Pelodiscus sinensis: one gene and its partner. The protein of the gene in region 2 interacts with the protein of the main gene of each other region in a biochemical or structural test. Links are inferred from orthologs where the notes say so. Each region holds a gene or a part of one and is shown on either strand. Other genes may lie near its edges.

What was found.
Region 1: the proteins of SKI (region 2) and SMAD2 form a complex in vitro, tested with the Homo sapiens proteins (4 studies listed by BioGRID). The link is inferred for Pelodiscus sinensis from reciprocal best matches to the Homo sapiens genes SKI and SMAD2.

What each region holds. Positions count from the first base shown.
Region 1 is NC_134716.1:117,161,608-117,168,516, reverse strand, and holds the start of SMAD2 (mothers against decapentaplegic homolog 2), read right to left. Parts: upstream 3,015-6,909; 5' UTR 2,948-3,014; intron 1-2,947. UniProt on the Homo sapiens protein: Receptor-regulated SMAD (R-SMAD) that is an intracellular signal transducer and transcriptional modulator activated by TGF-beta (transforming growth factor) and activin type 1 receptor kinases.
Region 2 is NC_134733.1:19,049,903-19,057,882, forward strand, and holds the start of SKI (ski oncogene), read left to right. Parts: upstream 1-4,979; 5' UTR 4,980-5,741; coding exon 5,742-6,653; intron 6,654-7,980. UniProt on the Homo sapiens protein: May play a role in terminal differentiation of skeletal muscle cells but not in the determination of cells to the myogenic lineage. Functions as a repressor of TGF-beta signaling.

The DNA.
Region 1 (6,909 bases), on a different chromosome or scaffold from region 2:
ACTGTCTGTACTCTTGGTACTACTGAAAAAAAAAAACCCACCACCACACGCTAATCCCATCACATGACCTGCAGCAATTCTGTTTAACAAATTAACAGTTACAAATATTTTGGCAAAGTAAGCTTAGGTATTGTTTGCCTCTAAGCACAGTTGACAAGTCATTACATCCAATCAGAAAAGCAGAATTTACAACTCACTTAGCAACTCAGTCCTATAAATGGATGCTTTCAATTAGAGAATTTACATATACAGCCCATTAAGACAGTGTTAATACATCTGAAAACCTAAAATATTTGTACAATAACTCAAGTTTTATCCTGCACTGTTTTTAGAAAGAATTTGGAAATCTCTTCTCCCTCTGGTACAGCGCTCAAACTCATCACCCTTCAGACATGTTGCAAGGTTTGTTCAAGCCTTTCTTTTGATAAGAGATGAGAAAAGTTTACATCTCTCAAACTTTCAGCAATACTGAACATTTGTAAGCTCCAATTAAATTCAATGGTAACTACAGGTGCTCAGCACTTTGGAAAGATCGAGCTGACATAAGAGGATTGAAAAAGATCCAGCAGGGCCTTTACTTTGGAAATTCTCTTTGTATGAGCAAATTAAATCAACAAAGCGGGTGTTGGGGAGGTTGGAGTTAGAAAGAAAAGAAAGACGTCAATTTAGACAGAACTGAACTCTTACAAATGTAAGCTTTTCAATTACCCTATGACCTTATAAACTTTGCTAGAATTGATTATTCCTACTATAAATTTGACATACAACATCTTTAATTCTTGATAGAGAGGACAAGACAACTCAGTTTAAATTTCAGCACACCATTTTTGATCTGCACTTCCAAGTAGGGATGTAAAACAGCATTTAATCAGTTAAACATACCATTTAACTGGTTAATCACTTAAACGGGCTGCTCTGGACAGGCAGGAGCTGCTCTGGCCTTGCTGGGCCACTGGTTAACTGGTAACTGATAAGCATCGCCCAATAAGTGTGATGTCCACCAGTTAACCATTGACATCCGCAGCGGGTTACTCCCAGATCCTGGACTAGCAGCGACTAAGCAGGGTTGCCTGCCGAATTAAGTAGAAGCCAGCCAGGAAAAGGCAGCCCCGCTCAGTCCAGGCTCTCACTAGGACCAAACCCCACTGCAACTTTAAAAGGCAGTAAGAGCCAGGCAGCCTATCCCCTGACCCCACTGCATTTTTAAATTGCAGAGCCACTGGAGGTAACCTCATGATGAAGTTAACACCAAGATAGCAAGCTTCACAGTTTAAGATAAGCAGAGTAATGTCTCCAACTGATTTTTTTACCTCCCTTGATACTTAAAGGCAGATAATTTTGTGAAAGTAACATGTTAAGATACACTGAAAAGCTAAAGAGCTAAATACAACTTGAGAGGAGAAACAAAAATATGTGAAGGAAAGCCTACAAATCATTACAAACTGGAATCTTATTGGATGGAAAGTTTCTCATTTTTACTTTACACATGCAAAGCAAAAAAACGTGCATTTTGCTAAATTTGCTACTATAACCACCCCACAATTAACAGTCTGTCAATTTTAAACAGTTGGCAGTATAATCAAGCTGTCCTCACTGCAGCCTATTTTGTTAAGAAGGCAGAAGTTTAAGATTTTAAAGATACACTAAACAAATGCAAAAATCTAACTGGCTTATCTTACTGTAAGCTTTTTGATACAAAATATATCATCATTATTTGTATACTCAGGAACTGCTTACTATAATCTGAAATAAATTGCATGAGTGATATGTACATCTCAGCACTCACTGAGGGGAGTTTAAGAGTTTCCAGTCATCCACAGAACAGAAACAGAATTTGGCTGCAGTTAAAAGCAGCTCTTAACTGTTAAAAACTCTTTTCTAAAAGCTACAACCATGGTACTCTCCTGCTTCACAAGCCAACATGAACTGAAAACAAGGTATTCTACATTTGAAACTGGATCTCAAACAACCGTCCTACAGACTATGAACTAATGAATTCACTCAGCTGTTTTTCCTCACACATATGCTACACACAGCACTACAAGTGAAAGTTTTGCAAAATTGCTAAAACAATCGCTATTTGCAGTCATTACAGTGCATCAATTATAGCACCCACTGGGTATGATGCTTGCTTACATCCATACAGTTCAGTTACAGGAGAATGAAGAGGATGAGCAGTCACTGGCTGCCAACAGGTGAGGGAGGGTTAACCCCCTAGGAACACTCACTGAAGTTAAGGCTGAATCACTTTCCCTCCCCCTATTTTCAGCTCACAATTTTAGACAATACTGGCTCTCTCTCAGGCAGTAGTTTTCCACTTTTAATCTGTGTGAAGCTCTTCGGGAAAGTCTAAGATCGAGTTTTTCCAAAGGAGGGTGGGGTGGGCAGCGAAGTAGTAATACGCCCACCTCTAACCCCACACCATCGGTCCCCAGAGAGAAGCTGCCACGGGCCCACCCAGCCACCCCTCCTATTTATATCCTGAGAGCAGGGCCCGGCCTAGGACTGCCAACCCCACTGAAGCTATTCCAGGCGACCCCCCCCCCCGCACCCCCAAAAAGGGGATGTCACGCCACTGCCGTGGAACGCCCCATCACAGCCTCCAGGGTCGCTTTCCCCCCCGTCCCCGGGAGACTGGTGCTGATTCCGGGAGACTCCCGACCAAGCCGGGAGGGTGAGCAGCCCTGACCCGGCCGCTCACCCCCACTAGGGAAGAGGCGAGAGAGACTCGGGCCCAGCACCAACCCCCCACTCCCCGCCGGCCTGAGCCTCCGCCCCAAACCTCGCCCCCCCTCACGCGAGCCTCCCCCACAGCCACCGCCTCCCACAACAAAGGGGGGGGGGGCGCTGCCTAGGCCGGCGCGTATCCCTCCCCCCACACACAGGCAGCACCCGCCGGGACTGGCCACCCCGGCCCGGCCGATGCCAAAGCCGCCCAGAGACCAACCTCTTCGCCTAGCTACGCCGCTACCACCTCCTCCTCCTCTCCCTCTCGCTGGCTTCCTCTTTGCCGCCGCCCACTCCGCCCGCCATTGGTTAACGAAGGCGAGGCGGCGCACGCCGCAAGCCCCCCCCTGATTGGCTCTGCCTTGGGTCAGTTGTGAGGAGAGCGGGCGGCGAATGGCTAAACGAAGGCTACGTCCCGCCCAGCCAAGCGATTGGCGCGCCTGCCACCCAATCGGCGAGAAACGCCGTGGTGGAGTCCTCGCGACGGAGAGCGTGATCCGCGCGAGGGCCACGGCACTCGCTGATTGGCCGACACTTGTGTCGCTCCCCGCCGGGGGAGGTGGCGCAGGAAGGCGAGCGAATAAAAAAAAAAAAAAAAAAAAAAGGCAGGGGGGAGAGCGCCGATCCTTCCGCCAAGCGGCCGCTGAGTTCGCTTAAGAAAGTAGTCGCCTTCCGCGCGGCAGCGGATTCCAGCAGCGAGAAATAGTCCCGTCCTTCCCCGTCACTAGTCCAACCACCTCCCATCCCACACGCCTCCCCCTGCAGCATGACCCGGCCAAGGGTTAAATGAGGGACCATGCACGGGTTAAAAGCCTCCCCCAAGCACCCCCCCAGATTCAGTGCAGTGGGGGGGGGCTCTCATCTGCTTTACAATCTCCCCCCCCCCCCCCTCCACACACACCTGTGGTACCAGGGCCACAGCACCTCACAGACCTGTGGCAAGTGCCCATCCTCGTGGCCCCTGCCCTCGCTCCGGGAGCCCACCACGCTGGCAGCTACATGGCCCCTCCGCAGGCAGCCCTCCAGCGTCCCATCCAGCGCCCCGCGAGGTGGCGAGCGTGCAAATGCATCACCCACGGGCGGTCCCACAGGGACATACAAGCGCCCTGCAGGAGAGGGAATCAGGATTCAGCCAACTCCACTCAGCTAGGGACCACCTCGGAGCGCGGGCATTGCAATGCCCGATCCATCTCGTCTCTGCTGCTGCACGCAGCCAGATGCTGGAGGTGTAAATCTCCCACTCTTGGCAGAGTGCAATAATCTGCCCTCTTCCTCATCCTACTCTCCATTTAAGACTGGTACAGCCCCCACAACGTGAGGTTTAACATCCCTGTATTTGTCATTAAATATGATAATCTTGAAAAACGACTAACACGGTTAACCCTCTGAGTAGGATAATCGTGGCTATTCTTGGTATCCAGAAGGGAGTGCACCCCTTTCTGAATCTGGATTAAATTACATTAAATAATATAATGTATGTTGGACAAGATTTACATTAGGAAGCTACAGGTGAAAGGCTCTACAACTAATTAATAATGCCTGAATGTGTATGGTCTCTCCCCCCATAAACCCAAATGCAATGCCTTCATGAATGAACCTTTCTGTCTTGAAAGATAAATGTATTAATTTAAATTTTGACCTTTTGTAAGCTTGCATACACAGGGAGGGTCTGACGCTGGACAAACAGGCAAAGTCTCCCACAGACTGCTCTCAAAGTCTGGTACACCCTGCTCTTAAAGAGAGCTCTCATTAACCAACTACAAAAGCTAAATATTAAAGTCAAGGCCCGCTCCTGTATAGCATAAGCCACCAATACCAGCATGCCAATCAAACAACCAAAGTGAGATCATAGTACGATAATCCACAGTGACTACTACTATTCATTGAACCAGTGGAGGGAACCTAATTCTCCTACACTTATGGGAGTACCCTCACCATGAGGCTATAAAGTCAATTGCTCTGGCTACATCCTCAATATGTAATTGCTTGTACAAACTGGAACAGCTCAAACAGAAGAGACTGAAACAGACCCACCCCTGAATAGCTAATAGCCAGGAGATTAAGGCACCTGCACTCAGATCTTGGATATCTCAGGTAAATCCATAAATCAGAGATGTCAACCTTGGTTTTATGAGATGAGGGCCATAACCATTATGCTAGTGAATACTTTGGGTTCTCTGTCTAACGTATATTTTTATACATCAAAATTTCAGTTTTGTCCCAGTGCAGAATGGGAAAACTTGAAAGTTCAAAAATATATTTGGACAGGAAACAAATTTGCCCTAATGATGTGTTTGGCATTTAATCTCTAATCATGTGTTTGGCATTTAAATTCACACCTATAGATCCCCCACAGAGTCTGCTATTTCAGCTCTGGGAGGAACTGACTTGGGGGTGGAAGGAAAGCATGCTGTTACTGTTTCCATTCCTGGCACTGGGAGCAGATTGTGATCTAATGATTACAAACAGCATAGCTAAAATGTAGAAACATCCCTGTATGGGTCATATGTGAGGATGAACTTGGTATGTAGAGATATAAAGAGTCTCTACTATTTGAGGTAAAGAACCAGCTCTTTTACAAAGCAATGTCAGTGTCACAAACTTCTATACGTGATGCAACTGCTTGAATGTCATGCAGAGCCATACTAGAAGTTGTTCATCTGAGGAAGTGGGTTGTGCCCACGAAAGCGCATGATACCATCTATGGTTTATTAGTCTTTATGGTGCTACTAGGCTATTTGTTGTTTTTTAAGTTTTTCCAATTACAGACTAACTAGGCTATTCCTCTGAAGCTCTACACCAGGGCTACATCTAGACTGGCATGCTTTTCCTGAAATGCTTTTAACGGAAAAGTTTTTCGTTAAAAGCATTTTTAGAAAAGAGCGTCTGGATTGGCACGGACACTTTTCCACAAAAGCACTTTTTTGCAGAAAAGCGTCCGTGGCCAATCTAGATGAGCTTTTGCGCAAAAAAGCCCCGATCGCCATTTTCATGATTGGGGCTTTTTTGCACAAAACAAATCTCAGCTGTCTACACTGGCCCTTTTGTGCAAAAGTTTTGCGCAAAAGGGACTTTTGCCCGAACGGGAGTAGCATAGTATTTCCGCAGAAAACACTGATTTCTTACAGTAGGAAGTCAGTGCTTTTGCGGAAATTCAAGCGGCCAGTGTAGACAGCTGGCAAGTTTTTCCGGAAAAGCGGCTGATTTTTCGGAAAAACTGGCCAGTCTAGACACAGCCCAGGTGTGGGCAATAATTTTTGCCCAGGGGCCACTTCAAAAATTTTTGAAGTAGCCCCGGGCCCCCAGAAGGGGCAGAGCTTAAACAGGAAGGGCTGGGTCTACCCACCCCCAGACCAAAATTGGTCTGGGGGGTCAGGGAGCCCCTTTGCCCCCCCTTCCCACTATGCTCCCATGTCCTGGAAGAGGCTTGGCATGCTGCCCCACCCCGAGGCCAATCAGGGCCTGGGGGCAAGGGAGCGCAGGTAAGCCTCCTCTCACCCTGCAAGGTGCCGTGGGCTCCTGTTAGGGCCAGGGCAGGGGAAAGGAAGCTTCACACGGTTCCCCAGGCCCTGATTGGCCTGGGGGCCAGGGAGCGCAAGAAGCCTCCTCCCTCCACCGCGAGCAGCGTGCAGCGCTTCAAAGCACCACATGCTGCTGGCAGGGTGGGAGGAGGCTTCATGCACCCCCTCTCCCCCCGCACCCAAGCCAATTAAGGCCTGGGGGCGGAGGGGGGGGAGCACACAAAGGCTTCTCTGCTCTGCTTCTGCCCTGCGAGCAGCGTGCAGCGCTTTGAATCGCCATGTGCTGCTTGCAGGGCAGGGACAGAGCAGAGAAGGCTTCAGGTGCTCCCCCACCCCAAGACCCTAATTCACCTGGGGGCGAGGGAGCAGCAGGGCCTCCGCAGACCGGATCCAGCCTGTGGAGGCCCTTTTGCCCACCCCTGCTTTAGACGCAGTTAATTTGGCATGTTCCTTCTCAAAGACTAAGGGCAGGTCTTCACCAAGGTGACGTGATTGTATGGATTCACAAAAGGATTCTTCCACTGACCTAGTTACATCTACACTTGCATTGGGTCAGCTTAACTATAGCAACTGGTGGTGTGAATTTTCCAAATCCCTGAGTGACACAGGTAGTTTGCTCTAAATGTTAAAGGTATATCTACCAGATGGAAACTGTATTAGC
Region 2 (7,980 bases):
GAGATCTCCCGCTTCCCCACCGCACCCGGTCAGTCTCCCCCTTGCTACCTCCCTGCTGCTATTTAACTCAGCAAAGCCTCTGGGAGACGGACAAACGGAAGTTTTACTGTATTGTGAGGGCTGCGAATGCCAGCCTTTTAATGCCTAAACCTGTTAAGAAAAACCACAGCGTTTAGCAATTTGATACTAATCCTTTCCCCTTCTCTAAAGCTGCTTGTCTTTTGAGGATCTCAAAATGTGTTACACCCATTCATGGAACTAATCCTCCTTCTGAGACAGGGCAGGGTCACTACCTACAGTTGTGAGAATAGAGAAACTGAGTCACGGAATGGACTTACCCAGGGTTACCACTGGCATGTAAACTGCTCATAGGAGGACATACACAGTTTCCTTCTACCCCGTGATTTATCTGTAGAGGGGAAGAGCCAGGGAAATGCTTGTCCTCCAACACAACTGCTCCCTTGCAGTCAATATCTCCTCTCTCCTCAGCTGTCTGATTCTGATCTCACCTCAACCCAGGTTCATAGCCCGCTGGGGTCAGAGGGAGCCTTTCCATTACTTCGCTAGACTCTGAATTAGGCCCCGATGCTGTGTTTACACTAGTATGTCTCCTTTAGCCTCAGTAGGATCAGTTCTGATTCAGGGCCTGATCTTGCTGCCTTTAAAGTCAATCAGCGTTTTTGGTGATCTTAGGCTCTATTTGTTAAGGGCATGTCATATTAACCAGCTGAGACTTCCAAAGCAGTCTAAAGGAAATTGTGCCCACGCCCCCATGACAGATCTTTGAGAAATCAATGCTTGCCTAACTCCTATAGGCTCTTTAAATCATTTATTTATCAGCCTTTCTATGGCCATCAGTTGTGTAGTACCTGAGCAGCTCACACACACACACATTAATTTTACCCTCAGTCTTCCTGGCCAGGCCTGACTAGAGTATGTTGGGATCTTGTGCACTGTGGACATTGGAAGCCCTGCAGTGTTCCCTGGAAACTGAGTGCTTGGGCGGCCACCCAGGAGAGATTCAAATGGCACCTAGTTTATTGGCAAGGCGCCTGCAGTCAATGGCGAGTGATTATGATAATGCTGCACTGGTTAATTCAGGCCTGCCTGCTCCCAGGGAATCAGCATTGCTCCCATTTTACAGATGAGGAAATGGGGCACAAAGAGATAAAAAGTTTTGCCCTAAGGCAAAACTTAAGGAAGTCCCTGGGAGATCTAGAAATAGAACCCAGATGCCCTGTGCCTTAGCCACCAGATCATTCTCCCTTTCCTTTGTATGGTCCTCTCTTTCCTCTATGAACTCCAGTTAGTGCCAGCCCACAAACAGCTCCTTACACGATTATAAAATCATGAGTGGTGTGGAGAGGGCCGATAAAGAAAAGTTATTTATTAGTTCCCTAAATAGAAGAACTAGAGGACACCAAATGAAATTAATGGGGAGCAGGTTTAAAACTAATAAAAGAAAGTTCTTCTTCACACAGCGTGTAGTCAACCTGTGGAACTCCTTGCCAGAGGAGGCTGTGAAGGCTAGGACTATAATAGAGTTTAAAGAGAAGCTAGATAATTTCATGGAGGTTAGGTCCATAAAAGGCTATTAGCCACGTGATAGAAATGGTGTCCTTGGCCTCTGTTTGTCAGAGGCTAGAGAGGGATGGCAGGAGACAAATCGCTTGATCATTGTCTTTCGGTCCACCCTCTCTGGGGCACCTGGTGCTGGCCACTGTCGGCAGACAGGATACTGGGCTAGATGGACCTTTGGTCTGACCCAGTACGGCCGTTCTTATGTTCTTATGTTCTTATGATCCAATGGATATCTGAGTGGCAGACACCATCTTGATTGGGAGGAGCTGCCTCTCTTCAAATAAGCCTTGTGGGGGGGTGGGGATGGTTGTTTTTTAACCATACACTAACAAACCTTAGTAAGTTTCCTTCTAAGTGTGTGTGTGTGTGTGTGTGTGTGTGTGTATCTTTAAAGGGATCAGGGACTCTATTGTTGGTGTTTGAATACATCTGGATTTTTCTCTTAGATCTTAATGGATCTAAAACCAGCTGGAATTGCAATTAAATTTGTCAGAAGAGTATTATTCTGTGTTCCATCCCTGTAGCATTTGGGTACCTTCCAAATAAAATAAATTCTCTAGTGAGATCTCTAGAGCACTTCTCTCCTTTTGGGGTCAAATCTCTGCTTGGGACAAAGTCTTTAGTTTTCAAATCCAGAACCCCTTATGATTTGAAAGCAAAAGGACACATGGGTGGGTAGATCTCATGCACACTTCATATTGTCAGGAGGTAACATTCACCATCAGAGTTTCAAACAGGCACCATTGAATTTTGCATTTAAAATAAATTTAAATCAATGCCTTTAGAGATTACTAGTCACACAGTTCAGAATTCTGCCAGTAAACTGTACATTTTTTGCATGAGGGACTGATTATTTTTCATTAATAAATATACAGTACCAAGCATGTTAGGGCCCTGGGCACTGATTAGTACTTTTAGAGCCTATTATTAATTATTTGTATTGCAGTAGCATCTAAGAGAACCAGTCAAGGACCAAGACTGCCTTCTGTAGTACATGAAGTGATATGACAGGTGTTAGTCACATGAAGTTTTTTGCACTCTCTTTTAATACTCTAAACCCAGACGCTTCATTCAACTCCAGACATGAGAATGGAAACCCTGGGCCCAACCCGACTAATTCAAACTGAGGGATGACAGCCCTTTTTAGTGCACTGTACTGCACTTTGCTGCCATCAGTGTCACAGTGAGGACAATATAAGGCAGGGCCTGAAACGTTCAGATGTGTTTGTATATTGGCCTACATAATAGAGGTCTGAGCTTTCCCACAATTATAAATGTTAAAATAATTAAAATGGTTGGACAAAAGTAAGAATGATTTACAAGAGACTGAAATCTCTGGAGTTGAGCCCCAGAAAATGCCAGATCAGATGGTAAGGGAGTGAATCACAGTGGAGAGGGAATTCAAAATCTTAGTATCTATACAAATTCCAAAGGGCATTGTGTTCCCCCAACAGTACATATTGTTGGCCAAATTTCCTCCTATTTTTGTGTCTGCATTTATCTTTCGAATTTAATGTATCTATTTGGCCCTTACCTATTCACTCTTCCCCAATCTGCCTGCACCTGTTGTGTTCTGTTTTATACTTAGATTGTAAGATCTTTGGGGCACAAACTGTATTTTTGCTTTGTGTTTTCACAGCATCCAGCACAGCAAGGTTCTGGTCACCTGGGGCTCCTAGGCAGGGGGGAGGAGGTCCTACATGCAATGGCAATACAAATAATAATTAATTATAGTATTTCTGAACACAGCTTGCATGCAGCCTGGTTTTGTCTGCACGTTACAGTTAAAATGTTGATTCATGAGGGGTGAGGGAAATAATCCTTGTTTCTCTCTTTGGTTTTGAAACTTTTCTTGTATTAGAGCTGGTTGAAAAGGCAGTTAAAAATGGATTTTGATTGTCAAAAAAATTCCATTTTGAATTTCGGCAGTATAATTCTTCGAAAAACCAGATACGTTTCATCCAAAAGGGTTTGTTTATTGAAAACAGATTTGTTAAAAAGTCTTGAACTCGGGGGAATGTCTTCTAGTTCTAGTTTATTTTTGTAACTGCAAGAAACTGAAAGAGTGGAGCAAAAATGGTGCGTGCGAACATGGGTATCTTCTGGTAGGTTCTCCTATAATAAGTAGGGCTGCTTAGGGTCAGGGATTGCATGGCAGACTTGTTAGGAAAATCTTGGTGTTGAAGGAAGTGGTGTTAATGATTCAGTAGAGGGTGCTCTTTCCTGTGAGTCAGTGCACAGCAATGCCTCAAGGGTGGCCCAGAGAGGTCTTTTTGCGTGAGATGTGAAAGGGAGGTCCTGCATTAGTCATGGCCCTTAAAGATCCCAGATTACCTTTTGATTGGACAAATTTAATTTTTCTGACCTAAAAATCCCCCTGCAGTTTCAGCTGAAAATGTGTTTTCCCCCTCTGATTCTTTACTCTGTGTTTATATTGCAGCAGGCTATGTTATAGGTTGTGCTTGGGTTCCATCCATATATGGTCCATTTGTGTTACGCATTTACATTAGGCATATGGTTTGTACTGTGCATGTGTGTGCACATTTTGTTTTACACAATGCATGTGTTTTGTGCATGGTATCTCTATGGCTTGTGTTTGTGCTTTGTGGTTGTGTGAGATGTACATGTTTTACATTTGAAGATGAGTGTTATGCATAACATTTGTGTTTATTTTTATCCCGTATATAGGTTAGGGGCAACTCCGTGTGTTGTGTGTGTGTGTGTTTTGTCATGTGTGTACTTGCCTTGAATTACATACATAGCTCCCCGTCCCAGCCAAGGACCTCTTGGGAAAAAAAGAGGGGAAGTGGAGGACTCCCCTACTAGTCCGCCTGCAGTCCCCTCCTCCAGATTTCCTTGGAAGTGCAAAAGATTGGGAGGGGTTTTCCGAGGGGAAAAAAATTGCAACATCTCCCCCTCCCCCTCGCCGCACGAGAACGATTTTTCTTCCTACATACAGAGGGGGCAGGTATGTTTTGCAACTTTTTTTTTTTTTGTTAATTGCATGGCCCCTGTGTTTGTTGCATGCTCCCCTATGTGCATCCGTCACAAAAAAAACCGGTGAAGAATCAGGACGGGGGGGAAAAGCAGAAACCAAAACCTTCAGAGGGGGGGAAAAAAAAAAAGCCCTCGCCCTCCCGCCCCTTGACTTCCTCGCTGGCAGGTCTGTGAACCCAGCACTTTACTCCTCCCCAGCCTGGCTGCTCAGGGCTTTTCTGTCTGCTGTGCCTTTGCAGAGCGGCTCCGGGCGCAGCGCGGCGCGGGGGGAGGAGCCGCCCGTTCCTGGAAGAGCCCAGCCTGGGGAGTTGGTCACATTCTTGGCTGGGATTCAATGACTGAGGCAGACACCGACAGGCAGGGGAGGGGTGCGGGGGGGAGGAGGGAGCCAGGCTGCATTAGCTCAGCTGCGAGCCGCGCTCAGTCTCTGCCGGGGCGAGGAGCGGGGCGGAGGTGCGCTGCTTGCCTGCAGCTCCCCGCGGCAGCCCACTAGGAGCGAGCCGCGCCGGAAGAACTGAAAGCGAAGGGAACCTGCCCGGGGAGCGACCCCGCGGGGGGAAAGTGGAGGAGCCCCCCCCTGTGCACCCCGCCTGCCGACCCCCCCCCCAGCCGCTCCTGCTCATTTCCTCGGAGCTGCGGACGCGCTGGGAAGGGGCTTTTCCGAAGGAAAGCAGCAAAAAAAAAAAAATTGCAACATTTTTTGGGGGCTGCCCCCCTCCTCTCCTTGCACGAGACCGAGCTTTCCGCCTGCTGCTGCGAGGAGGGGGGGCTATGGACCGCCGGGAGGCCGCTGCAGCACCGCACCAGCCCGCGCGCCTCTGAGCGCCCCCTCCTCCCGGGGGCTGGAGCGTGGCCCGGACTTTCCTAGCGGGGGGGTGGGAGGTTGGGGGCGGCGAGCCCAGCGCGTGCTGCGGGGGCGGCGGGGCGGCGGGCGAGCCCGGGGCAGGGGGCGGGCGGGCGGCACTGGGGCGCGGGGCTCTGCCGGCTGGGCGCTGGTGGCTCCGCCGGGGCGGCGGGCGAGGGGGCCGGGGCGGCGCTCAGCCCACGGGGCTGGCTCCCCTGCTGTAGCGGGCGCGGAGCCGGGGAGGGGGCCCGCCGGGGCGCTTTCCTGCTCGGGGGGCGGGTGGCTTCGGGGGGCCGGGAGGGGCCGCAGGAGCCGAAAGATGGAGACTGTCAGCAGAAGCAGCTTCCAGCCCCATCCCGGACTGCAGAAGACCTTGGAGCAGTTTCACCTGAGCTCCATGAGCTCCCTGGGCGGCCCGGCCGCCTTCTCCGCCCGCTGGGCGCAGGAGATGTACAAGAAGGACCATGGCAAAGATCCCGCGGAGCCTGTCCTCCACCTGCCCCCTATCCAGCCCCCGCCGGTCATGCCGGGCCCCTTCTTCATGCCCTCGGACCGGTCCACGGAGCGGTGCGAGACCATCCTGGAAGGGGAGACCATCTCCTGCTTCGTGGTGGGGGGCGAGAAGCGGCTCTGCCTGCCCCAGATCCTGAACTCGGTGCTCCGGGACTTCTCGCTGCAGCAGATCAACTCCGTGTGCGACGAGCTGCACATCTACTGCTCCCGCTGCACGGCCGACCAGCTGGAGATCCTGAAAGTCATGGGCATCCTGCCCTTCTCGGCCCCGTCCTGCGGCCTCATCACCAAGACAGACGCCGAGCGGCTCTGCAACGCCTTGCTCTACGGGGGCACCTACCCGCCCCACTGCAAGAAGGAGTTCTCCAGCACCCTCGAGCTGGAGCTCACGGAGAAGAGCTTCAAGGTGTACCACGAGTGCTTCGGGAAGTGCAAGGGACTGCTGGTGCCCGAGCTGTACACCAACCCCAGCGCTGCCTGCATCCAGTGCTTGGACTGCAGGCTCATGTACCCGCCTCACAAATTTGTGGTCCACTCTCATAAATCCCTGGAGAACAGGACTTGCCACTGGGGCTTTGACTCGGCTAACTGGAGGGCCTATATCCTTCTCAGCCAGGATTACACCGGGAAAGAGGAGAAAGCCAGGCTGGGCCAGTTCTTGGATGAGATGAAAGAGAAATTCGACTACAGTAACAAATACAAAAGAAAAGCACCCAGGGTAGGTGGCACCTCATTTTTTTGGGGGAGGGGGGAGGAGAAGGGAATTTGCCTACAGTTTCGGGGGTTTCCCGATTAGGTGGCCCCTTTCCCCTTAAAGGCATGCAGCCGTCTAACCATGCTGTGAAATCTGACCCAAGTGGGGTTGCTGTGGAAGAGCGTAGACACTGCACGTTGCTTTCTTATAGATTTAAATAATTGTTCTTCTTGGTGACTTTTAAGTTTGACTTAACATACTTTTTGCTTTGTAATACCTTCTTTGAAACGTACACTAGGGGACCGATCCTATTACCTTTGCTCCCTCCACCTCTCCCCATACTTTCACAGGGAGGTCTGACCAGGCCAGGACTTTGGGACCAGAGCCTGAATGGGAAAGTATGGAAGCTGGGGCAAGGCCCAATAATTAGAACAAAGTGCTCGTTGCAGAAATACACCCTACTTCCTAACGTATTTGTTCCTAAATTGATCAGGTTTGGGAGCAGAGACTAAATGATGGGGACTGGTTACAGGAATAATGCTGACAAAAGGTCAGCAAACTAATAGCCAGCGCCTGGTGTGTGAACGGAGACCGTGCTTGTTGTCAGAATCCTACCCCGAGACTGGCTCTTGTGTATTGGATTTTGTATACATCGAACAAACGTATCTGCAGCAGCCTGTAAGATACACCAGGCGGTGGTGACTTTGCCCCTCCAGACTGCTAAACCACATTTATTTTAGGTGGCTTTTTTTTCCTCAGTCTGAGCAGCCTGAATCCCCAGCATGTGGGTGGCAGGCCATGGTGGCCCCTGGCACCAGTCCTGGTCACTGGGCAGCAATGCCACAGGGCCCTGAGAACTTCCTTGCAGACACCAGGATGTCTGGCTCACCGGTGGTGGTGTAATTGGCTGTGGGATGAGCAGCGTGCTGTCCATTCCTTCCCCCCCCAAACAAACAGTGAAGTCGAGTTAACTCCTTCCCTTGCGTTCTGCTGCGCTTGCTTGGTGGGTGGATTTGGTCTCATTTTATTGAGGGGGGGGGTGTTTAAGGTGCGGTTGTTGTGGGGTGCACAGAGCTAGGAACAGACTCCAGGAGAAGCATTTAAAGCCTATTGTGAGTAGGCAGGGAGATTCTCAGCACTTCCCCAAGGCTTGTTTTAAACACTCACACGCTTTTTAACTTTTCTTTTTTATGAAGTATCCAGGCTTATGAAGTGCTGCGCACACAAAGCTGCACTTAACCCAGCTAGCTTTGGGAGGCCCAATTAATCCAGCTTCTTCCCTCTCTCTTTTCTTTCTTTTTTTTGCCTTCCCTGTTTAAATCAGTGGCTAGACTCCTCTTCCCTCTTGTCC